Sus scrofa: one gene and its partners. The protein of the gene in region 1 purifies or fractionates together with the protein of each later gene. This does not show direct contact. Links are inferred from orthologs where the notes say so. Each region holds a gene or a part of one and is shown in the gene's direction. Other genes may lie near its edges.

Evidence for each region.
Region 2: the proteins of SRC (region 1) and ARRB1 purify together in Homo sapiens (affinity purification with western blotting; 3 studies listed by BioGRID and IntAct, with this or other methods). This does not show direct contact. The link is inferred for Sus scrofa from reciprocal best matches to the Homo sapiens genes SRC and ARRB1.
Region 3: the proteins of SRC (region 1) and KDR purify together in Homo sapiens (co-immunoprecipitation; 5 studies listed by BioGRID and IntAct, with this or other methods). This does not show direct contact. The link is inferred for Sus scrofa from reciprocal best matches to the Homo sapiens genes SRC and KDR.
Region 4: the proteins of SRC (region 1) and MET purify together in Homo sapiens (co-immunoprecipitation; 4 studies listed by BioGRID and IntAct, with this or other methods). This does not show direct contact. The link is inferred for Sus scrofa from reciprocal best matches to the Homo sapiens genes SRC and MET.
Region 5: the proteins of SRC (region 1) and PDGFRB purify together in Homo sapiens (affinity purification with western blotting; 4 studies listed by BioGRID and IntAct, with this or other methods). This does not show direct contact. The link is inferred for Sus scrofa from reciprocal best matches to the Homo sapiens genes SRC and PDGFRB.
Region 6: the proteins of SRC (region 1) and PECAM1 purify together in Homo sapiens (affinity purification with western blotting; 3 studies listed by BioGRID and IntAct, with this or other methods). This does not show direct contact. The link is inferred for Sus scrofa from reciprocal best matches to the Homo sapiens genes SRC and PECAM1.
Region 7: the proteins of SRC (region 1) and CDCP1 purify together in Homo sapiens (co-immunoprecipitation; 4 studies listed by BioGRID and IntAct, with this or other methods). This does not show direct contact. The link is inferred for Sus scrofa from reciprocal best matches to the Homo sapiens genes SRC and CDCP1.

Annotation. Positions count from the first base shown.
Region 1 is NC_010459.5:40,512,489-40,515,988, forward strand, and holds part of SRC (proto-oncogene tyrosine-protein kinase Src), read left to right. Parts: intron 1-27; coding exon 28-126; intron 127-298; coding exon 299-402; intron 403-2,018; coding exon 2,019-2,168; intron 2,169-3,500. UniProt on the Homo sapiens protein: Non-receptor protein tyrosine kinase which is activated following engagement of many different classes of cellular receptors including immune response receptors, integrins and other adhesion receptors, receptor protein tyrosine kinases, G protein-coupled receptors as well as cytokine receptors.
Region 2 is NC_010451.4:9,533,199-9,536,698, reverse strand, and holds part of ARRB1 (beta-arrestin-1), read left to right. Parts: intron 1-833; coding exon 834-969; intron 970-1,806; coding exon 1,807-1,891; intron 1,892-2,329; coding exon 2,330-2,402; intron 2,403-3,500. UniProt on the Homo sapiens protein: Functions in regulating agonist-mediated G-protein coupled receptor (GPCR) signaling by mediating both receptor desensitization and resensitization processes.
Region 3 is NC_010450.4:41,835,868-41,839,367, reverse strand, and holds part of KDR (vascular endothelial growth factor receptor 2), read left to right. Parts: intron 1-257; coding exon 258-381; intron 382-891; coding exon 892-1,000; intron 1,001-2,366; coding exon 2,367-2,708; intron 2,709-3,500. UniProt on the Homo sapiens protein: Tyrosine-protein kinase that acts as a cell-surface receptor for VEGFA, VEGFC and VEGFD. Plays an essential role in the regulation of angiogenesis, vascular development, vascular permeability, and embryonic hematopoiesis.
Region 4 is NC_010460.4:29,510,527-29,514,026, reverse strand, and holds part of MET (hepatocyte growth factor receptor), read left to right. Parts: intron 1-1,469; 5' UTR 1,470-1,483; coding exon 1,484-2,686; intron 2,687-3,500. UniProt on the Homo sapiens protein: Receptor tyrosine kinase that transduces signals from the extracellular matrix into the cytoplasm by binding to hepatocyte growth factor/HGF ligand. Regulates many physiological processes including proliferation, scattering, morphogenesis and survival.
Region 5 is NC_010444.4:151,190,019-151,194,123, reverse strand, and holds the start of PDGFRB (platelet-derived growth factor receptor beta), read left to right. Parts: upstream 1-1,305; 5' UTR 1,306-1,912; intron 1,913-4,105. UniProt on the Homo sapiens protein: Tyrosine-protein kinase that acts as a cell-surface receptor for homodimeric PDGFB and PDGFD and for heterodimers formed by PDGFA and PDGFB, and plays an essential role in the regulation of embryonic development, cell proliferation, survival, differentiation, chemotaxis and migration.
Region 6 is NC_010454.4:14,684,643-14,688,142, forward strand, and holds part of PECAM1 (platelet endothelial cell adhesion molecule), read left to right. Parts: intron 1-1,092; coding exon 1,093-1,368; intron 1,369-3,500. UniProt on the Homo sapiens protein: Cell adhesion molecule which is required for leukocyte transendothelial migration (TEM) under most inflammatory conditions.
Region 7 is NC_010455.5:28,316,566-28,320,621, reverse strand, and holds the start of CDCP1 (CUB domain-containing protein 1), read left to right. Parts: upstream 1-1,256; 5' UTR 1,257-1,527; coding exon 1,528-1,609; intron 1,610-4,056. UniProt on the Homo sapiens protein: May be involved in cell adhesion and cell matrix association. May play a role in the regulation of anchorage versus migration or proliferation versus differentiation via its phosphorylation.

The DNA of each region.
Region 1 (3,500 bases):
TTGCTCCCTCCCTCTCCCTTTGCTCAGAGAGGGAGACTGGTGGCTGGCCCACTCACTCAGCACAGGACAGACGGGCTACATCCCCAGCAACTACGTGGCACCTTCCGACTCCATCCAAGCTGAGGAGTGAGTATTAACTCTGGCTTCCTGCTAGCTCACTGCCACTGCTGGGTCCGAGCTGCTCTCCTGGGCTGGAGTGGGAGGCTGACTGCCCGGGCCCAGCCAAATTCCAGGAAGAGGCACTGTAGGCGGGCAGAAGCCTGGACTACCAGCACCATCCTTCTTCCTCCCACGCCAGGTGGTACTTTGGCAAGATCACCAGACGCGAGTCAGAAAGGTTACTGCTCAATGCGGAGAACCCAAGAGGGACCTTCTTAGTGCGAGAAAGCGAAACCACGAAAGGTATGAGTGCTTCTGCTGGCCGGTGGGAACTGAGCCCTTTGTGGGTTATTTGATCTGGGTGTTGCAGAATAAATAGGAGTTTGGTATGTGGAGTCGGGTGGGAACAGCCCTCCAGCTGGAGAAAAGACAGGCTCAAAGGCAGGGAGGTACTTTTAAGGAGCACTGAGTTATCTGGGGTGGCCAGAGGTGCAGCAAAAGAGGCCAAGCTCTCTGGCTTTAGGTTCCTCAGATGAGGAACAGGTACAGGTCGTCAGGAGGTTTGATGGTCACAGAGCTATTCCCAGGGAGGGTGCTGAGGCAATGGGCCCTCTCCTTCCTCTTCTCCAGGGGCCTTGGGGGCTGGAATGGGTGCTGGGACCTGGCTTTGCCCTTCCTCCAACAGTCCTGGCCTCTGTTCCTCTGCAGTCCCTCCCCTCTGCCAGAGAATGATCACTCCCTTTCTCTCCAGCCCCTCTGCAAGTGGGTTGCAGACTTCCCCATCACCATGGCAACAAAGCTCCCGCTTCTGTGGGCCTGGGGCTCAGTAGGAGATGGGAAAGCAGAGCATCCATGTCATGTGTGTGCATTTATGAGCAGTTGTGTGGCCGTGCCATGCCATGTGTGGGTCCCAGCATGTGTGTGTGCACGGGGGGTGGAGTTGTCTGTGTGTTGCTGTGTGGGAGTGAATTGCTGTGGGTTTGTCCTTGGGGGTGTGGACATGTCTGCACAGGCAGCCACTGGACATGGGCATGGCTGTGAGTGTGCACATGTGTTCAGGGCTTGGCCTTAGACCCAGGCCTGTGGCTTCTACATGCACATGGCCTGGGCCATCTGCAGAAAGTCATAGTTGTCCCATGCAGGCTGTAGAGACCTAGGTACAGGTTCAAGTCCTTGCTGGGTGACCTGAGGCTAGCTGCTTTCCCTCTCTGGGCCTCATTTTCCCTTCTTTACACTGGAGATTGTAAGCCCACCCTGAGGATCGTCCAGGGGTTCTGTGGACTCAAAGGCAATAAACAGTAAGGGGGCCACCAGGGCTGGCCCAGCTTAGCCTTGGCAGCCTTCAGGCCACACCCAGCACATGGTCCCCTGCCCATGACCGCCCCAGCCTCAGCCAACCCCTGGCACCTGCCTGAGCCTGGAGTCTTCAGGAAGCGGCAGGGCATGGACAGTGCTTCCCTGGGTGGACCCGCAGATGGGAGGCAGTTAGACCAGGAACACACAGCCACTTGGGGCCTTTCCCGTTAGGCTCCCTGCAAACATTTATTGAGCACCTGCTGTGTACCAGGCCCCCTTATATGTGATCTCATCGAATCTTCCCAGCAGCCCTAGGAGTAGCCCCATTGTACAGAGGAGGAAACTGAGGCCCAGACACACCGCTGGGATGCACACCCGGGCTTCAGACATCTTGCCAAGACCAAGAGTGCATGAAAAGGCTCACCAGTCAGGTGCCCCTTTGTCACTTGGCCCTGGCCCTGTGGCCACCCCAGAGCCGGGGTGCTCAGAGACGGGCTGGACCAGACCTGGCTCTGCCTTGGTCTCCCTCACCTCCTGTGTCGGGCAGGTGCACTCAGAGCCATGGCCTGGGGCGGCAGGGGTGTCTGCGTGCTGGTCACGCTCCTCTCTGGCCGCCCCTGCAGGCGCCTACTGCCTCTCTGTGTCCGACTTCGACAACGCCAAGGGCCTCAATGTGAAGCACTACAAGATCCGCAAGCTGGACAGCGGCGGCTTCTACATCACCTCACGCACCCAGTTCAACAGCCTGCAGCAGCTGGTGGCCTACTACTCCAGTGAGTGTCGGGAGGCCTCCGGGGGGCCAGCTGGGCGCGGGCGAGACTCAGCCCTCCGAGGGTATGGGGGGCAGTCTTGGCCTGTCCTGGGAGCTGCAGACCCTGAGGTGGGGGGCTTTGGGGCCGACAAAGGCCAGGGCTTCTCTCACCCTGCGGATGTGGGCCCCCGTCTCGCACCCCCTTCTTCCTTTCCCCTTTCTCCCGCCTTCCATTCCCCTCCTCCCTCCCCCTCTTTCTTCCTTCTTTCCTCCCTAGGCCCCCTCCTCCCCGTCTCCCCCTACCCCCGCCCCTCCATCCTCCTTCTCTTCCCAGCAGCTGTCTGGTGAGGAGGGGGCTGCCTGGAGGAGTGAGCCGGGAAGGAGGGGGCATAGGCTGGTGTCATTTGTCTCTGCAGCCCTAGGACCGGTTAGAACCGGTTACCGGGAGACAAGGAGGGGGCGGCTAGATCGATCGAAGCAGAGAGGGGGAAAGAGCGTGGCAGGCGGGGAGCTCACGCGCAGGTGGCGGGCCCGGGCCTGGCCACGTGTGCAAGAATGTGGCTGAGCCGTGTGGATGTCCGGGGCTGCCCAGGAGGACTGACGTATAGTGGCCTGTGTGCTCCGCTGCGGGCAGATCTCCACGGGTGCTGTGTGTCTGAGGCTTCAGCGTGCAGGTGTGGCCTTTGCTGAGAGCGCCAGCTTCCCCTCCTTTGTCAGCTGGGCCTCCAACTCCCTCCAGGAGCTGCCACCCCATTCCATCCCCTGGGCCACCACTCTTGGGTTCACTCTGAGCCCTGTTCCCCCAGATCGAAACCCTCCAGGGGTGACCTTGGAGTTTGAAACCCCCACATGGAACTCTGAGGCCTTAAGTGGTCTAACCCAGCTGGCCTCCCTGCCTTACCTGGGGCCTCCTTCCCCCACTCACTCGCCTGAAGCCCACGGCCTCCTTTCGGCTCCTCCAACCCTGTGGCTTATTCCTCCTCAGGGCCTATTCCCTAGTCAACTGCTCATCCTCTGCAGATCTAAGCCGAGACACCTCTTCCTCTAGGAAGCCTTCCAGGATTCCACCCAGCCCTCCTGCTATTGCATGCACAGCTCCCTTCTGTCACTCTCATGATCCTGGGAGGGGATTAAGGGAAGTTGGGTGCCACCCTGGACTGTGAGCTCCCTGAGGACAGGGTTCCACTGGACTTGTCCCCCACTGGCTCCCTGGCACCTGCCCAGGTAGCCACCCCTTAAAGTCTGATGAATGAATGAATGCCTCAGGGAGCAGGCGTATGAGGCAGCATGGGCCTGTGTCGGGGAGGGTGTGTACACACAGGTGTGTCCACCTGGTCTGGAGGGCATCATGGAT
Region 2 (3,500 bases), on another chromosome or scaffold:
GCGTTGTCGTAGGTACTGAGAACATAGCAGTCAACGATTTAGACAGAAACGTCTATCCTGAAAGAGCTCACGTTCTTAGGTGCCATGGGGACGCAGGAAGTGAAACATAGTCGCTTTCTTAGCATCCTGCTGGCTACCAAGACACAGAGCCACATAACGTGCTGCCACGGGATGGCTTGGCCCCTGATGTGGTAGGAGTTCAGAGCAGTTGACCTTGAGGAAGGAAGGTCAGTTGACCTCGGGGAAGGAAGCGGATGAGGGCGGAAGCTGGAAGGGGATGTTATAGGCTGGGACTGAGCGTAAGCAAAGCTTCAGAAATAGGACCAGATAGGGAGTTCCCGACGTGGCTCAGCGGTAATGAACCCAGACTAGCATCCATGAGGACGCAGGTTCTATCCCTGGCCTCGCTCAGGGGGTTAAGGATCCGGCGTTGCCGTGAGCTGTGGTGTAGGTCAAAGACATGGCTTCGATCTCATTTGCTGTGGCTGTGGTGTAGGCCGGCAGCTACAGCTCTGATTCGACCCCTCGCCTGGAGCCCTCCATAGGTCGCAGGTGCAGCCCTAAAAGAACAAAAAAAGAAAAGAAAAGGAAAGAAATAAGACAGACTATCAGGGGCGATAGTGAGAAAGTAGGGGGAGCTGGGGGACGAGACGGAGGGGCTTGAAGGGGGACCAGATGGTGTCAAGGCCACATGCCCACCTCTGGGTTTTGGACCAGGTTCCAAGGCCGCGGGAGCCATGGCAGCCTCTTAGGCCAGAGAGGGATGTGAGGGTCGCAGGGCAAGGGGTGGCGGCAGGTGACCGTGGTGTCTTCTGCTCTGCCATCCCCTCTAGGAACTCCGTGCGTCTGGTCATCCGGAAGGTGCAGTATGCCCCGGAGAGGCCCGGCCCCCAGCCCACCGCCGAGACCACCAGGCAGTTCCTCATGTCGGACAAGCCCTTGCATCTAGAGGCTTCCCTGGATAAGGAGGTAGGGGGCTCGGGCTTGGCGGGGGGTGGGGGCTCTCTCCCCGGGGCGGAAGCCTCGGATCCCAGCTCTCGGGGCCTCTGGGACTCCTCGGTAGGAGCTTCCGCCCCCAGCCTGAGGACCACAGGGCTCGGGATCTGAGACCTCCCCTGAGGGATTTGGAGAAGCCTCCTGGGGACGAAAGGGGTGGCCCTTGACTTCAGAAGTCAGAGTACCCCCAGCGGGGTCCTGGGTCCTGGCCCTCCCCCTGCACCCCCATCCTCCCTAGAAGCGTGAGCACCCTCTCTTCCTCTTGGAGTGGGGGCAGCTGAAGGCAGGCTCTTGGGCCAAGATGCGAGTCGAGGCTCTTCAAGGAGGCTTCAGAGCTGCTTCCCCGAGTGAATGGGTCAGTCCTTCCCCACCTTTCTCCAGCTTCTTTCAGACCCTCCTGAGTCTAAATTCCAGGCAGCCGGAACCAGCTGGGCTTTGATATGTCACCTGCTCCTCGTACAGGGCGGTTCCTTAGGTAACCTGTCCAAGGTCCCACCGCTCTGATCCTCATTATTTTTATTGTTACTGTTGTCATTACGCCTGGGGACCAACCCAGGACTGGAACCCAGAATGGTCACCCTTTAACTCGTCATCTTTCACGGTCCCACAAAGGCACTTAAGTCTAACATGCCTGGTGGCTTAGCATCAGTGGGAAGTGTCTGATGAAGTTGGGGCCCATGTCAGAGTGGCCAAGGCCTGGGGAACCCCAGGAGAAGTCGGGGATCGGGGGGAACCTCCTCTCCCTTTCTGTCACCTCGAGCTTTGGAATCCTCCCAACCACCCCTCTCCCTCCCTTCTCACGCCCCCCAGATCTACTACCACGGAGAGCCCATCAGCGTCAATGTCCACGTCACCAACAACACCAACAAGACGGTGAAGAAGATCAAGATCTCGGGTACCCGGGCGAGGGCCAGCCAGGGGGTGGCCAGGAGGGACTCTTCCCAGGGGTCGGGGTAGCCGAAGGCTCCTCCTTTGCTAACAGCCTTGTAAATAACTACTGGCCCGCGGGGAAGCGCAAGGCCGGCTCTAAACCAAGGGTAAGGCTTTTGCGGCTGGTAGCACCGGCCACTTATGGTCGGTAGTGAGTTTACTGCTGAAGTCCCTTCTTCCCTTAGTTCCCTGGGTTCTGGGTAGAGCGGTCCCGGAGGGGGAGATGTTTGGTTGTGGAAGAGAACGGGCACGTGGGGCTGCCCTTCGGGGAGAGGAGGGGTCCGCCTCCTGCGGAAGCGCCCGGTGGACTCTGGCTGAGGCTGAGCACCCCAACTCGGGGAGCCTGGGATGCCTGGGAGCTGCACCCTGGCTCACCCCACCTTGCTTCCCTCTTCCTCCCCAGTGCGCCAGTATGCAGACATCTGCCTTTTCAACACAGCCCAGTACAAGTGTCCGGTGGCCATGGAAGAGGCTGAGTAAGTGAAAACAAGCCCAGCTCTTGTGGGGGGGAGGGGTTGGGCGAGGAACGGAAACCACTACAGGTCCACATGGCTTTTCATCACCTGACAGAGGGCCTGGCCTCAGATGTCCTTGAGCAGACGATCCTGAACAGGCTTTTAGCAATTAGCCACTTGGTTTAGCTACACAGAAATGCATGCTGCATGCAGGCAGAAGACCAATGAAAGAGAAAAAGACAAAATAAAAGCTAGTGAATCTATGAGGATGGGTTAGGGAAAGAAGAGAATAATTACACTGTACCAGAAACCTAGATTGAAAGGTGGGACTTTGCTTTGAGCTTCCTGGCAGCCAAGGCAAAGAGAGTAAGGCAGTAGGGTCACAGCTTTTCTTGTTGGATAAAGGAATGATCCAAGTCATTGCGTAAAAAGGTTTGTGTGGGAGAGTAGAAAATAATTATACCAAACTAAATCTAGTTCGAGGAAGGATGCTGTGGTTGAGCAGGAAACTTTGTCCCAAGTTTGTTAAGGCAAGAGGAGAGTTTTTTTTTGTTTTGTTTTTTGTTTGTTTGTTTGTTTTGTTTTGTTTTTGCTTTTTAGGGCTGCACCCACGGCATGTGAAGGTCCCCAGACTAGGGGTTCAATTGGAGCTGTAGCCGCCAGCCTACACCACAGCCACAGCAACGCCAGATCTGAGCCATGCCTGTGACCTACACCACAGCTCACAGCAACCCTGGATCCTTAACCCACTGAGTGAGGCAAGGGATTGAACCTGCAACCTCATGGTTACTAGTCAGATTCCTTTCCACTGCGCCACATGGGAACTCCAAGAGGGGCGATCTTATGTGAAACATTTTTTCTCACTCAAAAGAAGTAGATGGTCCTATTAGAAGACATACCTCTTTTTTCTCCTGCCCTGCAAATAATCTTTTAGGGCAATTGCATTTCGTGTAATTTTTCATGTATGTGTGTGTTTATTTACATACAATAACAGTATTTTTGTAATCTAAAAACATTTTTAAAATGTTACTATCTGGTCTTTGAGATTGTTCTTAATACCACGTAGGAAAACAAGTGATGATTGGATCAGACATGTCCCTGTTATTGGATATTTCTTTT
Region 3 (3,500 bases), on another chromosome or scaffold:
GTCGATCCAGTTTATGAATGGAGGTTTGTTCCCAGAATAGCTGCTTCCCTCCTGTATCCTGAATGAATCTACCTAGAACCTTTTCCTTCGTTGCCGAGACCTATTTTTAATTGGCGCCAAGTCTCGTAACGTGGTAGGGTGGGTTGGAAGTTATTTCTAAGAACATCATAACCTAAGTCTGACGCCTTTCCTTGCTATGGATTTGAATTAAAGAAAAATTCAGTTATGATATCATCTGTTGCCTCTTCTTTATATAGCCAAGCTGCCCTAGCGACAAACCCATATACTTGTAAAGAATGGAGAAACGTGGAGGACTTCCAAGGGGGAAACAGAATTGAAGTCAACAAAAATCAGTTTGCCCTAATTGAAGGAAAAAACAAGGTGAGTCTGAAGTTCTTTAATTGCAAAATCTACCTCTCATTTATGAAAGGATGGAGCGAAAGCAGCGTAAAGTAATATGTGAGGAATATTCGAGATTGATCCTCAGGTAAGTTGGATGATAAAATACTAGCATATTAAGTCAGCCTGAAAACCATTGACTTTTAGAAGCTATCTTCCTGCTACCTTATCAGAGAAGAATAAAAACATATACCATTGACTCAGTACATCGGTTGTATGCTAATTCTGATTTTGCAAACATGAAAATGTGTGTAATGTTGTATTAAAACACATTCGTTCTTTCCTGGTTTCCAAAGCTCATTTTGTATGATGTGTGAGCTGTACCAGCATAATTATAATTGCACAGATTTGAGCACGGTCAGTGCTGGCATATGAATGGGGTAGGCAGGTCACGGCAGTTGTGGGGACGCTGAATTTTAGTCTGAATGCACATGCATAAACACAGCCTCTATTGTTTATGGCCTGAGATTTGTTTTTTTTTTTTTTTCACAGACTGTAAGTACCCTTGTTATCCAAGCAGCCAATGTGTCCGCTTTGTACAAATGTGAGGCGGTGAACAAAGCCGGGAGAAGAGAGAGGGTTATCTCCTTCCATGTGACCAGTAAGTGCTTCTGGGGGGCTGGGCTGTCCATAATCTGTCGCCCTGGGCCCTCCTGTGAGTGGTATGGCTTTAGGAAGGGGACTTGGATGGATAATTGAGGCTTTTGCTCATCAATCAGAACGCCTCAGGCAGCTCCTGGACTCCCGTGACATCATTGCACCTGACGCAGGAGAGAGAACATGAGTTCACACCTGTCTTTGAACCTCAAGTCCTGTGTCACACATTTGTCTCTGAGGTCAGAGCCTAGCACAGTGCTTGGCTTTTCGAATTTCAGTCAGTTACGTATGGGCTTGCTGCTGAACAGTTGATGAGCTTGGGTTTGGGAGGCAATTGTAGTAGCTTTGGAGCAGTGTCCTCCCAACGATGCTGATTTTGTTGTTCATCTAAATTTTATGGCTGAGCTTTACCTGACTGACCTGGATAAAATATTTCAGTCTGGGCTAATTCATTGTCATATACATAGCTTTCTTGTCAGTGCGTGTTCTATATTAAGGAGGAATTATTATTATTATTATTAGCTTTGCTTTTTGGGCCTCACTTGTGATATATGGAAACTCTGAGGCTAGGGGTCGAATGTGAGCTTCAGCTGCTGACCTACGCCATAGCCACAGCAATGCCAGATCTGAGCTGCATCTGTGACCTACACCACAGCTCACGGCAATGCCGGATCCTTAACCCTTTAAGTGAGGCCAGGGATCGGACCTGCATCCTCATGGATACTGGTCAGGTTCGTTTCTGCTGTGTCACAATGGGAATTCTGAGGATTTATTTATTTATTTATTTATTTATTTATTTTGTCTTTTTGTCTTTCTAGGACCACACCTGTGGCAAATGGAGGTTCCTAGGCTAGGGGTTGAATCGGAGCTATAGCTGCTGGCCTACATCACAGCCACAACAATACCAGATTTGAGCCACGTCTGCGAACTACACCACAGCTCATAGCAATGCTGGATTCTTAACCCACTGAGTGAGGCCAGGGATCAAACCTGCAACCTCATGATTCCTAGTCTCATTCGTTTTCGCTGTGCCACGATGGGAACTCCAGAATTAATTTTTTAAATCCCATGTTATGATTATATGCTTTGAATTTGTTTTTTAAATCTTAAAAATCATGGTTAGAACTCAAAGTGAAGAGTTCATAAATATTTGAGGCATTCATTTACACTTCCACATAATGTATTTTGGTAAAACAATGCATCTTGAAACCCAAATTGTCCAGTTTGGTTGTTTCCTTGCATCCCATCATCTGGGAATGCTACAGGTTCATTTCTTGTGGTGCTTTACTGCAGACTAAAGGCAACAAGAAAGCAATAGCACTCTGCCCAAGTTAAATCACTGCCTTCTAACCATGAGTTTTACATTTCAGGGGGTCCGGAAATCACTTTGCAACCCAGCATCCAGCCAACCGAGCAGGAGACCGTGTCTCTGCTGTGCTCCGCGGACAGAACTATGTTTGAGAACCTCACGTGGTACAGACTTGACCCACAGGCTCTGCCGATCCACACGGGAGAGCTGCCCACACCTGTTTGCAAGAACTTGGATGCTCTTTGGAAAATGAATGCTACCATGGTCTCTAATAGCACGAATGACATTTTGATCATGGAACTGCAGAATGCATCCTTGCAGGACCAAGGAGACTACGTCTGCTTTGCTCAGGACAGGAAGACCAAGAAAAGACATTGCGTGGCCAGGCAGCTCACAGTCCTAGGTAGGGAGCCAATTCTGGGGTATGCCTTAAACTTTCAGGTGCGGTGCGAAGATTGTTCTCTAGCGCTTATGAAGTAGACTTGTCAGCCCTTATCTTACCACAAGTCCTCAAAGCAGAAGGAAGCCAGTCATGGTGAAGTGATGTATTAAAAAGAGAAACTTAAGTGGTTCTCTCCAATCCTGATGGTGGGGTCACTCACTGTTGCCTGCAAGGGATTATCCTGAACCAGGGAAATTTCTGCCTCATTCTTGGGCATTCATTTATGCAAATAGGCACATATTTGTGGAATGCCTACCACGATCAGGAGGGTGCCAGAGTGGTGAATAAGTGGACAGGGCCGTTGTAGTACAGTGAGGTCTCTGTGTCCATGAGGACAGGGAGTATTTTCTGCTTTACTCCTTGCTGAGTTCCAGATGTAGAACAGAGTGGCACCTACGAGGAACTTGTTAAGACATCCGCTGCCTGAGGAGTGTGATGATGGGGCTAAGACCTGTGCGAGCCCGTGGGTGGGGGCTGCTACACTTAATACCTGGATCTCTGGGGTGCAGCTCATGGTCAGCGAGAGGATCATTTGAGTGAGCAGAGAGCTTTGTAAATTCTGCATGAAGCCACTCTCTACCCTTCTCTAACCTTGTGCCTTGCACAGAATCCGTGCAGCTGAGGCTGTGTCTCTGGGGAAATCAGGCAAATTCAGGGAGCTTATCTCTGTGCCAATCCCTTTCTTTTTCTCCTCTCCTTGGTGTTCCCTCCCAGTTTCTAGGGCACATGTGAAGAGAAATTGCCTAGAGAAAC
Region 4 (3,500 bases), on another chromosome or scaffold:
TAATTTTTATTCACTCATTTATCCAACATAAATTTAAACACCTACTGTGTTCGAGGCTCTGTGTCAAGTCCTTGAGATAGAATGATAAGCCAAACAGACATTGGCCTTTCTCTTCTGGACCTCACAACATATTGGGCTTGTTCGTATTTATCGTGATCATAGTAATCCTAAGTACAAGCCATGCCTTTCTCTCTTGAGGCTTTTAGCTTTTGGTTTGTGCTATATAGGGTATTATAATGCTGTGTATTATAGTAATTTGCATATGTATATTATCTCAACCACACTATAGGTTCACTGAAAGGTAAGTGCCACCTGCCACTTTCCATAGTGTAAGCACAAAGCCATGTACATACTAGTTACTCAGTGAATTCTGTTGTGGTTTGGTAGACCTAGAGTTAATCTTTGGCATAATTATAACGCCTAGTATGTTTTTCGAGGATTCCTTTGTCCTGTCAGAATTATGCATTTTAAAAGGGAAAAAAGTAATAATTATTTCAATTCTGTTGCTTCTAATGTGTCTCCTTTCTAATCCACCAACAGCCTATAGCTGTTATAAGTAGAACTCACTATGGTTATAAGGTGCATATTAAGTTTTTAAAACCTGAATAACAAATCCACTCATGTCTCCCAGTAAAATGACTGTCCACATGCATACAATGGAATGTAAAAATAATGTTCTTTTAACGAAATAGCTTTTGACTTGGTAATGAACAATATGTTGTTTTTCCCTGAGAAATAATTCTAGGACTTTAGTCCTAAAGATATTTTATTTAATACATTTTCAGCTTGCTGTTTTTACATTCCCAGTGATCTTACATTAAGTTAAATATTTGTCTATCCAAAACAATAGGTCAGTTATAGCCAAATTATAACTGTACCTTTCCTCTGCACACACAAAAAAAATCCTATAACAGCATGTGATCATATTGCTTCTAGAATTTATGATTGTTTTCTTCCAAAAGGAAGCTAAATTTAGCCTAGTAATTCTACATGCTCCCAAGGAAACAATGCCTGCTGTGATTTCTAGGATAAATGAATCTGCACCACAATTCCTTTACTTGACTGAGAAAGTTTAAATATCAACCTAGTCATTAACCACAGATATTAAACCACATTAAACAACCAGCAAGGGGTTAAGAAAGAAATTTGCTATGTTTCTGATTTCACTGCTGAATGAGTCTAACTTAGTTGCTGTATCGTTCTTAATACAGAACATTGTTTGCATCTCATAATGGGTCTCTAAAATTACTTGTTCATGGGTTGAGTTCTAAAATTAAACTGTGTAGAGTCATATCCAACTGCACAATACATCTTTATGTGAAACCAGCTAGAGTTTTTTGTTTTCACTCAATGTAAAAATTCCAGTTAGGAAGACTTATTTCTCATAATTTAACTGGTAAAGTTCTTTCAGTTTCTTCTCTGTTTCTAGTGACAACTAAACTGTTCTCGCCTTGAACATGTTTTGACAGATAAACTTCTCACCATGAAGGCCCCTGCTGTGCTTGCACCTGGCATCCTTGTGCTTCTGTTTACCTTGGTGCAGAAGAGCAAGGGAGAGTGTAAAGAGGCACTGGTAAAGTCCACGATGAATTTGAACATGCAATATCAGCTTCCTAACTTCACTGCGGAAACACCCATTCAGAATGTCGTTTTACACAAGCATCACATTTACCTGGGTGCCCTTAACTACATTTATGTTTTAAATGACATAGACCTTCGGAAGGTTGCTGAGTACAAAACTGGGCCCGTGCTGGAACACCCAGATTGTTTCCCATGTCAGGACTGCAGCCACAAAGCCAATTTATCAGGTGGCATTTGGAGAGATAACATCAACATGGCTCTGCTTGTTGACACGTATTATGATGACCAACTCATTAGCTGCGGCAGTGTCCACAGAGGGACCTGCCAGCGGCATGTCCTTCCACCTGATAATATCGCTGACATCAAGTCAGAGGTTCACTGCATGTACTCCCCACAGGTAGATGAAGAGCCCAGCCAGTGTCCTGACTGTGTGGTGAGTGCGCTGGGAACCAAAGTCCTGCTGTCTGAAAAGGACCGGTTCATCAACTTCTTCGTGGGTAATACCATAAATTCTTCTTACCTTCCGGATCATTCATTGCATTCAATATCAGTGAGAAGGCTAAAGGAAACGCAAGATGGTTTTAAGTTTTTGACAGACCAGTCCTATATTGATGTTCTACCTGAGTTCCGAGATTCCTACCCCATTAAGTATGTCCATGCCTTTGAAAGCAACCATTTTATTTACTTTTTGACAGTCCAACGGGAAACTCTCGACGCTCAGACTTTTCACACAAGAATAATCAGGTTCTGTTCTGTAGACTCTGGATTGCATTCCTACATGGAAATGCCTCTGGAGTGTATTCTCACAGAAAAGAGAAGAAAGAGATCCACAAGGGAGGAAGTGTTCAATATTCTCCAAGCTGCATATGTCAGTAAGCCTGGGACTCAGCTCGCTAAGCAAATAGGTGCCAACCTGAATGATGACATTCTCTATGGGGTATTTGCACAAAGCAAGCCAGATTCTGCCGAACCAATGAATCGCTCTGCCGTCTGTGCATTCCCTGTGAAATATGTCAATGAATTCTTCAACAAGATTGTCAACAAAAACAATGTGAGATGTCTCCAGCATTTTTATGGCCCCAACCATGAACACTGCTTCAACAGGGTAAGTCACCACAGGTCCCCTACTTACATATTATGTGGTAAAAGTCAGAACTGATAATCAGTCTAGAAAAGACTATCAAAGGCTTTTTGGTGCTTGGTAAATGGTTTTTACCCAAAATATCTGCTAATTCTTTCCAAGAAAATTTAGAAATTGAATCTTCGTTTAAAGGTAAGTCATAACTTGAGAAAAATTTAATGTGATTACCAAAAGAAAATATAAAATATTTTTACAATTTGTGTTTACATGTTTGCCATCATTTTTCAGATTATTAAACTTATTTCTCATATAAGTTTTAGTAGTTGTGGTAATATGTACATAAATTTTAATACAACAACAGTTCCTGTGAAATACAGTTATTGAGATCCCATGCAATCTTTACAACTTTTAGAGTAAGTTGCTCAAGTTAATTTGTAGGTTTTGCAGACTTTTTTATGAGACCCCCATTTGCTCACTGATATATGAATAAGCGGTCTATATTCTTAGCAATACTTAAAGGAATTTACCCAAAAGCAAACAAACAAAATCCCTTCTAAAATGTTGAGATATAAAACATTTTTAAGTGTGCTAATATACTTCTATGAATAAATTAGAAAACTAGATATGAAATTTTTGCTCTCAAATCTCTCCTTTAGATTTTGACTTCACTTATGGACTTCCTGCTTTAATAGGCATGTGTCTACCACGTTCTAATTTGGTGCTTTTTAACCTGGTTGATATTTGAAATTTATAGATATAAATATTTTTGGTTAATGATCGCAGTTACATGAAATGATATTTTGACAGAAAGTGTTAGGGAAATTCTTTGTTGCTTTGA
Region 5 (4,105 bases), on another chromosome or scaffold:
CTACCTGGGTGCCCGGACGCCTCTCTTCCCTCCCTGGGGCTCCGTTTCCCCGTGTGCACAGTAGTGGGGTGGGGGGGTGACTTCACTCGACTCTCTAAGCCTATTTATTTATTTATTTACTTTGTCTTAGGGCCCCACCTGCAGCATATGGAGGTTCCCGGGCTAGGGATCGAATCAGAGCTGTAGCTGCGGCCTACACCACAGCCACAGCAACGCGGGATCCGAGCCGTGTCTGCACCTACACCGCCGCTCACGGCAACGGTGGATCCTTAACCCACTGAGCAAGGCCAGGGATCGAACCCACATCCTCATGGGTACTAGTCGGATTCGTTTCCACTGAGGCCGCGACAGGAACTCCTCTCTAAGCTGTTCGCAAATGATGTCCTTAGGCCAGGAGTCTGTGCCTAGAGACGTGTTCTGACCTGAGACGCGAGAGTTCAAGGAGTGAGGGTGAGAGGCCCGGGGTTCCTGGAGGCACCCTGGCGGATCTCGGCGTGGAGGAGCAGAGGGGCCGGGAGCACGGAAAGGGCAGGTAGCCGGACGCGGAAATGCGCGAGAGGGACCCAGGAAGAAGGTGGGTGGGGGCGCCTGGTGACACTGCAGAGGGCCAGCTGTCGGCCTCAGATGGCCTGTTTCTGCTCCATCACGTCGCGCGTGAGACCCGGCTCGGCTCCGCCGTAGCTGTGACTTTGGGACACTCACTTGCGGGCTATAGTTCCTGGTCTAGACCATGAGGGATCAACCCTTTCTGGTACTCCAGGGTTTGGGGATGATGGAGGAAGGTGCCTGGAATCGGAAGCCTGCTGGGTGTCCTTAGGCGGGTCGCTCTCCCTCTCTGCTGTTCACGCCTGGGTCTCGACTTCTTCCTCTGAGGAGGGACCGGTGGCCTCAGAAGGGCTTTCTGCCTCGTCTATGTCCCCCTTTCCTGCGAAGCCCATTCCAATTCCCTCCGGCCTCGGCGAGCGCCCTCTCTCGTGCACTCTCCACTCTCAGCCCCCCGCCCTAACGAGGATGGCCGCCCACCCCTGCGCGGGGCTGAAGCACAGGAAGTGCACCCAGGTGAACCGATGGGGACTGAGTCAACCGGGTAGGTTATCGGGGCTCCCTTTGCAGACGGGAGAGCCCAGCACAGAGCAGGGACCCGCCCCCAGGCGCCACGGCGAAGGGAGGCTGCCACCGAGACAGGCAGCAGGCGAGTGGGGCCAGCCACTCTTTAATAAAAGTGACTCAGCCGCTGGCTGGCGTGGGCTGCGGAATTTCTAAACATCCCCTCACATCCTGAGCGAGCAGGCTACGGGAGGGAGCAGCAGAGGGAAAGAGGAAGAAAAACAAGAAACTTGGGGGAGAAGAGAGGGGGCTGAAAATTGAAAACAGACGCACGCGTCCACCCTCCCCGCTCCGGCCCCCTTCTCCCAGCTGAGCCAATCAGAGGCCGCCCTGCAGCCTTTCCCCCAAGGTGGGGGGGCAGCCAAGCCCACAGTGGTGTGAGCTCCCGGGGCAGCCAGCAGCCCGCAGTCCCTGCCCACCCCGTCTGGGACCCAGGACCGTTTTGTGAGCCACTTGGAGCCCGAGAGGAGGAGGGACTAGGAGGAGGGAGCCGGGCCCCCCTGACCAGCGCCACCAGGCAGCAGCCAGACCAGGGCGGCCCTTCCTGGCAGCCCGGCTGCTCCAGAAGGATGCTTTCGGAGTGAGGCCACTCCTCACCCCTGCAGCCCCCGACTCCCTCGGTTCTCCCGGGGCTCCGGGAGCCTGCAGCCGTCCTCACGGCCTCCCTGCCCGCTGCTGCCCCATTTCGGGTCCAGCAACGTCTTTCTGGTAACAGCAGAGAGTAGGCGGTGTGGAGGTCTTCCTGGAGGGGGCGGCAGCCAGAGCCCAGGACCCTGCCCACACCACAGGAGGCATCAGCAGCAAGGTAAGTGCCGGAAAGAGGAGAGAAGCCCAGCCCCTGGTCCTGTCCCCTTGTCCCAGACTGCGCCTTGTTGGGTAGGTCAAAAAATGGAAAATATTTTTAACAAAACCAGATGGGAGGTGGCCAGGAGGCTGTGAACGACCTCAGGGCCGGAGGAGCGAGCTCCCTCCTGCTCCGGCTGCTTCTGGGGTGGACGCCTCCTGCCCCAAGCAAACCCCAGAGGTTGCTGGGTGCTAAGTGGGGCAGGGGCGCCTCCAAAGCATAGAACCGCCTGCGGGAGGGGCAGGGAGAGCGGGAAGGACGTGAGAGAGGAATTGGGAGATGGCTGGCAGGGTGCGTGGACCAGGGACCTCAGACTCGCAGCCTCTGTCCCCAGGCCCAAGCCTTGTCCCTGAGAGTCTGTCTGGCTTTAGGCCAGTCAGCCGCCAGGCAACGTCTCAGGATTTAAATGGATTTGCAAATTTTCCAGATTCCTAAAGTGTCCTTCCAAACCCCCAGCGGCTGGGAAAGTGCGAAGGCGATGGGGCCACGGCAGGCCCGTCCTGGCGGTCACGTCCCGCAGCCCAGACTGGGCGTCTGGAATCCGACCGTCGGATCTGGGGGTTCCTCTCTGGAAAAGGGGGATCGGCTGTGGGGCGCTTTCCTCCAGTCCCAGGCAGCTGCTCAGGCCTCCTGGTGGTCTCCCTCCTTCTCCGCTCCCCCCAAGCCCGAATCTGATCTCTGGTTCCTTTTCTGTGCCTGTAGAAAGCCCCGGCTCCTGACAGCGGCTGCCACCACGGCCACTTGCTGTTCGCGTGGTGTGTACACGCGCGGTCCCGTGTAACGCGCACCAGCAACTCCAGAGGCAGGGTCCGGTTTTGTACCCAGTTTACGTGGGAGGAGACTGAGGCTCAGAGCAGCCACAAAGTGGTGCGGCGTGGCTGGTGGGCGGCGGAGCTGGGGAGTCAGGACGCGTCCTGCCCCACCCTCCAGGCTCGGGCTTGGTGTTCCTGCCAGTCGGATCCCAGGATCCCAGGAGGGATTTTCGCGACCCTGCCTGTGGACAGGCCCTTCGTCACCACGGCCCTTCTCCTCCAGGGACCTCCCCCCTCTGCCTCCTCCAGGCAGCCTTTCTGGGTTTACATTCTTCCAAGGCTTGCCATGCCCTTCTGTGCAGCCTTGCTGTCGCGTCTGTTGACATGGCAGGCGCCAGGCTTCCCCGTCTCGGGTTCTGGTCCCCGTGTCCCTAGGAGGGCAGTGGGGCTGGGAAAGGGTGGCCATGAGGGGAGGGACTCGCTGGAGACCGCGTGCCCCCACCCTCCTTCCGCTGCCTGCCCGGAACCTCGCGGGGATCCTTCGGATGCTTCTCTATGTCCAGGAGGGAGTCCCCTGCCTCTGCGACCGCCCTTCTAGTGACACCTCACGTCCAGCGGTCGTCCCCTGCCCTGAGCAGCAGGGCCCTGAGGCTGCGGCCCCTGGGGACCTGCTGGTTCCCGTTGTCACCTCCTCCCCTGTGCCGGGCACAGACCCTGGGCCCTCGCAGGCCTTTGGCGTCTGTGTTGTCGTGAGCCCTGCCTTGAGCACGAGGCCAGTGAGTCAGAGCAGCGCTGCGACTTTCCCAGGGTCGCACAGCCGGCAGAGGTGGCATTTAGGCCGAGGTCTGCCGGGGACCAAGGCCGTAACCCCCTGCTCCCACGGAACCCGGCCGGGCCGAGCCCTCATCCCCCCACAAGGCCTGTTCCTTCTTCCCCAGAAGGGGCAGCTTCAGGCCTGTCCTGCTTCCGGGTCCACCGGGGCCTGGTGTGTGGCGAGGGAGGAGGGCCCCGTTCAGGCCCCGTCCCGTCCCCTCCTCCGACCGCGAGCCCCTCCCTCGCCTGCCTGCGGGAAGAGGAGCTGGGGCTCTAATTGCCCACAGATGTGGGGCAGCGGGAAGCACGGAGGACTCAGAGTCAGGAGACCCGGCCCGGGCCTGGCTCCACTCCCACCCCCACCCCCAAGGGGCCAACCTCAGGCCCCCACGGCTCTTTCTTGCTGCGTCCGCATCTGGAAGGCAGCGGGCATGGTGGGGAGACCACACCAGGCTCAGGCCTCGGAGGACCGGGCACAGTCAGCAGCCCCTGTGCCCCAGCTGCTGTGCGACCCTGGGCCGGTGCTCTGCCGCTCTGGGCGCTGGGCCCTCCCCCGTGAGCCGCCGGATGGGAGCGCACGTAGATGAGG
Region 6 (3,500 bases), on another chromosome or scaffold:
AACCTTTAGTTATTAAGGTACCCCAGAGTATCCTAAAAGATGCCCTTTCTTTTTTATGACCTTTACGCAGGAAAACAGACTTTTTAAAAAAATGATAATTTTTTATTGTGAATTTAAGTGATTTACAGTTTAAAAAGAATATTAAATATTGTATCACTCTATATTCACTTTGACATTTTTTAATGTCCTTATCTGTATTTTACATGATTGTAATTTGTGTATATACTCTCATACGCTCTGCTGTTTTTTTGGCAAGCACAAAGGCCTAGCCCTACTTCCCTCACATCCGCTGAAGATCCACACCCTGATATCTGGCCCATATTTTATTAAAACGGTTTTTCAAACCACGTGAATCATGAAATCAGTTTAGTCAATTATAACCAGTTATTTCGTTTTGTTTTGTTTGCTTTTTAAAGCACCCACAGCCTATGGACGTTCCCAGGCTAGGGGTCAAATCAGAGCTGTGGCTGCCGGCCTACAGCACAGGTCACAGCAACGCCGGATCCTTAACCCACTGAGCAAGACCAGGGATCGAACCTGTGTCCTCACAGATACTAGTCAGATTCTTAACCTGGTGAGCCACAACAGGAACTCCCATAACCAGTATTTTTTAAAAAGAGATAGAATAGACTAGAAATCACTTTGGGAGGCATGTGATCATTTAAATATGCATTTCCATGAAGCTGCACTCTGGAAAGCTATAGAATATCTAGGCTGAAATGCCAGAGAGTCCATGGAACGGTGTGAGAATTACCTAGAAAATCCTTGATGTGTGGCAGGGAAAGAGTCTGTTTCGACTGCTGTGATTATTTCTGAGGTCATTTGAAGAAGGTCTAGGGAAGATGGTTTGGTCTTTGGGAAGCTCAAGAAAGAGAGCATTGAAGTTAAAAAGAAGGCCGAGGATGCAAGAGTGAGCAAGAAGAGGGGGGAGCCTTGGAGCCGCCCATGAAGGTTTTTGAGAGGGAAGGTTGAGTCTTTTTAATTAATAAGGAAAAACTGGTTGACATCCAAAAGAAGAGAAAGCGGGAGGACGTGCTTTTTCCCTCCCGCAGGTCTGAACCTGAGTCCAACCAGCTTGTCCTCTTCCCGTAGAATCCTTCTCTAATCCCAAGTTCCACATCAGCCCCAAGGGAGTGATCATAGAAGGGGATCAGCTCCTCATCAAGTGCACCATTCAAGTGACACACCAGGCCCAGTCATTCCCGGAAATCATAATCCAGAAGGACAAGGAGATCGTGGCGCACAGCAGGAACGGCAGCGAGGCCGTGTACTCAGTGATGGCCACGGTGGAGCACAACAGCAACTACACGTGCAAAGTGGAAGCCAGCCGCATTTCCAAAGTCAGCAGCATCATGGTCAACATAACAGGTGAGGCTGCCGCTGGAGGGTGTCGGCCTACGGCGGGCTGCAGAAGCCGCTGTGCTGCAATCCCGGGTGGGCAGTGAGAGCTGAGAGATACTTCTGCTCCTGTTGGCCTGAAGGGATGTGCCTGGGCCGGGCTGGGGCGCTCGTGGGGAAAAGTCAGTGCAGAGCAAGTAAGCAGTTAGCTGTGGTGGTAGCAGGTGCAGGCTGTGGCCTCAGTGGCCAGCCTGGCCACTCAGTGACCTTGGGTGAGTTACTGACCCTCTCCTTGTCACAACTCTGAGATGGGGGTAATGACACCACTGTAGGACTGTCACAGGGGCTGAATGGCATCACTGTGCCACAAAGAGCCTCATACAGAGTAAGCCCTCAGTGATGGTTATCTGATGTTTCTGTTATTATGTCACAGTTCTCTTTCCTCTGTGCCAAGTACTGTCCGGATCCCTCCATCCCATTTCGGGCCCCATGGCAGGGTCAGGAGTGAGAAAGCATTACTAGGAGTTCCCATCGTGGCTCAGTGGTTAGTGAACCCGCCTAGGATCCATGAGGATGCAGGTTCCACCCCTGGCCTCACTCAGTGGGTTAAGGATCCAGCGTTGCCGTGAGCTGTGGTGTAGGTCACAGACGCGGTGTGGATCCCAAGTCGCTGTGGCTCTGGTGGAGGCCAGCGGCTACAGTTCCAATTGGACCCCTAGCCTGGGAACATCCATATGCCACAGATGCGGCCCTAAAAAGACAAGACAAAAAAAAAAAAAAAAAGAAAGAAAGAAAGAAAGCATTACTAAACTCAAAAATCATAGTAATAGATCCTCTTTGTGGAACACTATATGCCTGGTTTACATACATTTTCATTTCAAACTCAACTCTGTAAGAACGTAGGTATTATGAATCTGGTTTTAGGGATGTGGAAACTGAAGCTGAGAAGAACCCAACAATTGCAGGGTTACCAAGTGGCAGAGCAAGAGTCACCCCCAGAGCCTGTTAGATTTCCAAGCCCTCGTACTTGCAAGTTCCCTTGAACGCCTTCCTCCTTTACCTGGCTTTACTTTTCAACACAGCACTTATCACAAAAAAACGTACTCTACCTCCTCCTGTGTATTGTCTGTATGCGGCCCTCAAAAGTAAGCCGATAACAGAACAAAGGGTGGGGGAAAAAATGTGATTGTAATGTATACATGTAAGGATAACCTGACCCTCTTGCTGTACAGTGGGGAAATAAAAAAAAAAAAATCCAGAAATAGAACCACACACAAAAAAAAGTAAGCCGATAAGGGCAGGGGCATTATCTCTTTTATCCAGGGCTATATCCTTAACACCTGGAGCACAGGTGTCTGCACTTAGTAGGAATTCAGTACATATTTCCTGGGTGGATGGATGAGCATTGGACGACGGTGTTTCAGAGGACAGAGAGAATCAGCACTTTTGGTTCCCCAATGAAAGTGTTCATTCATTCATCATGGATTCACTCGTTTACTGAAAGCCTCCCCCGTGTTAAGCATTGAGTATATGGTCACAGGGACAATCCCCAGTGTCATAGGTAGGCTGCCAATGACCCAGCTGGGTGACTGGCATGTGATGGATCCAGCTGGTCTACACCAGGTCGGATCCTGCTAGCAATTTAGTTTTTTTGTTGTTGTTGTTTGTTTTTTAATTTTTTTTCCTTTTTAGAGCCGCACACGTGGCACATGGAGGTTCCCAGGCTAGGGGTCAAATCGGAGCTACAGCTGCTGGCCTAGACCATAGCCACAGCAACGTGGGATCCCAGCTGTGTCTGCGACCTACACCACAGTGCACAGCAACACCGGATCCTCAACCCACTGAGCAAGGCCAGGGATCAAACCCTCAACCTTGTGGTTCCTAGTCAGATTCATTTCCGCTGCACCACGAAAGGAACCCCTGAACGTTCAGGTGCTTGAACCTCCTGCCAGGCCTTCCGTAGGCTGCCCCCGCCCTGTGCCACTTTCCCTCATTGCCTGAATAACGACCTCCAAGGCTTCTTTCCTGATTCTTCGAGCCTGGGTTCAAGGTTACCTCTATGGGCTCTACTGCAAACACTACCTGAATCCCCTCTAGACTTAAACCCTTCTAGAGGGTAATTAAAGACTGTTTCTTTTCCACTGCTGTCTCCCTCCTCTGCT
Region 7 (4,056 bases), on another chromosome or scaffold:
GAAGACACGTAGAAGGAAGAGGAAGAAGCTCCTAAGAGATGGTTTCTCATCCCTGTTCCCAATGAAAGTAGGTAGGAGTATCCTGGATAAGCTCAGTTCCCCTAAGAATCAAACAAAAGTGGGAGCTGGACTGTTAACTAATGCTCTTACATGGGCTCTGCTTCCAGATTGTTCTGGGTGACCTTGGCCCAGCCTCCTGACTGCCCACTGGTACAGGCACCACCCCCCCGGGGCTTGGAATCATTGGTCTGCTGGTTGAGAGTCCCTGAACCATCCATAGCCTCTCTGTTTGGCCCTGTGACTCAGGACTTGGTATGTGGTGCAGAGAATCCACAGAACCTGGGAAACCAGAGAAAGGTGGCACACCTGCAGCTAGGAGGAGGGAAAGATGCCCAGAACCACTGATTTACAGCACAATGGTTGATGTGAATGCCTCAAGCCCATCCAGTATACACTATCCACAACTCAAGGAAGCGGTTCCTGTGGGTCTGTTCTGGTTTCTTCTCTTGGACCTTTCCAGACTCATGCATTTATTCACTCATCCATTCGCTCTCCAAAAATGTAATAAAGTAACCTCGTTTGTGGAAACCCCTTCCTGCCTCCATAAATTACTAACTAACCTAGTGACCTTGGGCAGGTTGCGTAACTCATTAGGTCTGCTTCATCTGTTATGTGGAAGGGATGCCATGAAAATTAGAAATACTGCGGATGAGGAGTTCCCTTCATGGCTCACCAGAAACGAATGTGACAAGTATCCATGAGGACGCAGGTTCAATCCCTGGCCTCACTCAGCGAATTAAGGATCCGGCATTGCCAGGAGCTGTGGTGTACGGCGCAGAAGAGGCTCGGATTCTGCGTTGCTGTGGCTGCGGTGTAGGTCAGCAGCTGTAGCTCCAATTAGACCCCTAGCCTGGAATTTCCATGTGCCGCAGACGCACCCTAAAAAGATTAAAAAAAAAAAAAAAAAAAAGTACTGCGGATGAAGTGCCTGGAGCAGAATGCAGGCTCATAGTCCTGCGAAGAGTAGCTGGAGCAACGAACGGCTGGCTTTAAAGTCCAACGAGGCTCCAGCCGGTCAGGAAGCAGAGACGGAAGCCAGGGCTTGGGTGATCCACAGACCTCATTCCTCTGAAAAATGGGCCGCACAGTGGCCTCCTCGGTGTGCTGGACAGTGAAAGGAGTCGGAGTGGATTCCCCAGGGGCGACCTTCGCGCCTGTGAATGGACTTGATCACTCTCGGCCTAGAGAGGGAGGGCGACGGGGCTAGAGAAGGTGGCCACCGGCCCCAGCGCTCTGGGCGAGAGAGGCGGGTGCGGAGGCAGGAAGGGGAGGAGGACAGAGAGGGCTGACCCAGCCAACCGGTGCTCTGGCGGCGCTGGGCGGGGCCGGAGCCAGTCCGCCCTCGCGCAGGTGAGCGAGCCTGGGCGGGGCGAGCGCAGCGGGTGCCAGGCTCGGGCGCCCGCTGCCGCTGCTCCTAACCACCCGCCACAGTCGCTTTCCCCGCCGCGGCGGAGGCGCCCCGCAGCCATGGCCGGCCTGAACTTTGGGGTCACGGTCGCAGTGCTAGGGGTTCTGCTGCTGAGTGCTTCGCGTCTGTCCAGCGGAGTGGGTGAGTGCGGGGCCGGGGGAGGGGCGCCGAAGGGGACAGGGGGCGCGAGGACGGCGCAGTCGGGGTGACCGGGTGTCCGGGACCGCGCGGTTGCTGGGCGCGCCGCGTCGGGCGCGGTGGCCGTGCCCTCCTGGATTGCGCGCGACCTCGTACAGGGCGCAGGCCGTGGCACGTGTTGGTGTACCAAACCGGGAGCCCCGCGGTCGTGGACGTGAGATCCGGGCGCAGACCGAGAAGGAGGAAAGAAGGGCGCGCGGAAGCCGAGCCCCCGAGACCTAGCTGAGGTGGCTTTACCTGGATTATTGGTGGCGCCGGCCGGGCGTGAGGAGGTAACCTCCCTCTCCGGCGCACCTTCTACCTCAGCTCCTGGGCCAGAGAAGAAGGTGTGAGAAAAACAGTAGTTTGTCGCCACGATATCCCACCTTTTATCTCACCTTTTCCCCGGTCCGCACGCGCCTTTCTCGCTCTCCCCAAGTTCAGGAACATTAATTACAAAATGAAAGCGCTTCTAGGCCGCGGAGTCTCTAGGGCCCCCCCCGCCCCCGGACCCCTTGCTCCTGTGGGTGAAGGACCCTGAAGGCGGAAGGGGGTCGGCAGGGGGCGGTCCTGGGTGGGGTGCGAATTCCCAGTTCCGGTGGGGGCAGGAACCGCCACATCCCAGCTGCCCGGGCCAGCGCGGAGGTGCCCTGCGGGCCCTGGAAGTGTTAGCACTGTAAATAACCTGGTGTCTCCATGTAAGAGTTTGATTTGAGGTCTTTCCTGAGACTAGTACAGGTTCTGTGGTTTTTAAAGAGCTATCCAAGAAGCAGTTTCGGTCTTCGATTACCCTTCGCTGCAACTAAGGGGGCGTTTGTGTTTGGCAGGCAGGTAAATTAGAGTAAATTAAAAAATCCGACTAAGCGGTTGAGGTGAACTTGGGCGTTCCGGTAACTGCCATCATGACAAATCCGAGACCAGAAAGCTTCCTGGTTCCTTTCTCCGACAGCGTCAGTGACATATTGCTGCACAGTAGATGGGACATGGGAAATATTGTGTACGTATTTATTGTAATTTAGGACTGAGTTTTCAGGATTTCTTTGGAGAGAAAAAAAATTTAAGAATAAGGAATGATTTAGCACATGAAAATGTGTTTGAGAAAAATGCGTGCTCACTACACTTGGGAGCTGTCTTGAAACTCTGGGCCTTGTCTGAGATGTTTCTGCTTGTCTGTGATAACAGTTAAGAATCCTCCATTAAGAGTATGGTGTAAATCAGGCATCAAGGCATTGCTAATAACGACAAAGACAGCCGGTCCTGAACTGCTTCTGTTACATGTCTGATTTCTCCCTGTGGGTCTTGTTAGACTGCCTTCTTGGTCACCAGTGGCTCCGATGGAGTCTTCCTTACAGGAAGTTCTTGACTGTTGGAACCATGTGTCTTGGCTCATTGTATACATGCAAGGAAGCCTAGGAATGTTCTCATTTCTCTCTTTTAAATCCTCCCTGTGGTCCCAGGGACTGGACCTGTGAAGCCACATCCCTGGGCTGAACTGAAGGTTATGCCATTGTGGTTGGAGCAGTCATAGAGTACATGTGCTTTACCCAAAGTCTTGGGGTTGATCTAACCAGTTGGGGGCCTTTGAGAAATTAAGACCTGTCCTGAAAAGATGGAGAAAGCCAGAAAGCCTAGCACAGTGGATTTGTTTTATAAACCCCTGAACTTAAGACTCAGAGTGAAAATGAAGTTGGTGTTGCTGCAGACATGAAAAGTAAAGTTTTCATCTTTGTGAAGTTTGTTTGTTTGAGTTTAATATTCCTGCCAGCTCCTCCACTTCTAAGAATAAAGGACTGGTTAAGTTGAAATAACCTTGTTAAAACCAACACGGTAGCTTTCCAAGAACCACTCAGATACCAGAGTCTGGGTCAATGACCCCATTCTTGCCGCCATTGTTTCTTGCCAGAAATATGAGTAGACATCAAATGATGTGTTCACTCACCCAGGGTGAGTGTGTGTGTTCATCATTCTTCAGATTCAACTGAGGAGCTGGTGGCTGTTGTCTGGAATGTGTAACTGGCAGGACGGATAAGTCCTCCCCCCACCCACACAGATTTGTGTGACACAGGCACAGACGGCTGCTCTGCTCATCGTACAGATGTGCTTGTGTGCTGACCCATCAGCCTCAGGGTTCACCTCAGATGCTGCTATTTTGTTCATGATGACTGTACCCTTTACCCCCTCCACAGTCTTTCAGAGGTTCTTCCTGGCTACCAATAAGGGGAAAGGAAATTAAAAGCAATGATATCAGTGTTTTAAATAGTATATATCTGTAAGTATTGTACGAAAATTGGCAACAAATATAACCAGCATGGAAAAGAAGTCCTCTGTGAGCAAACAACCTTGGACATTTTGGTACCAAATCGTGTGTGTGTGTGTGTGTGTGTGTGTGTGTGTGTGTAAAACCAAAAATA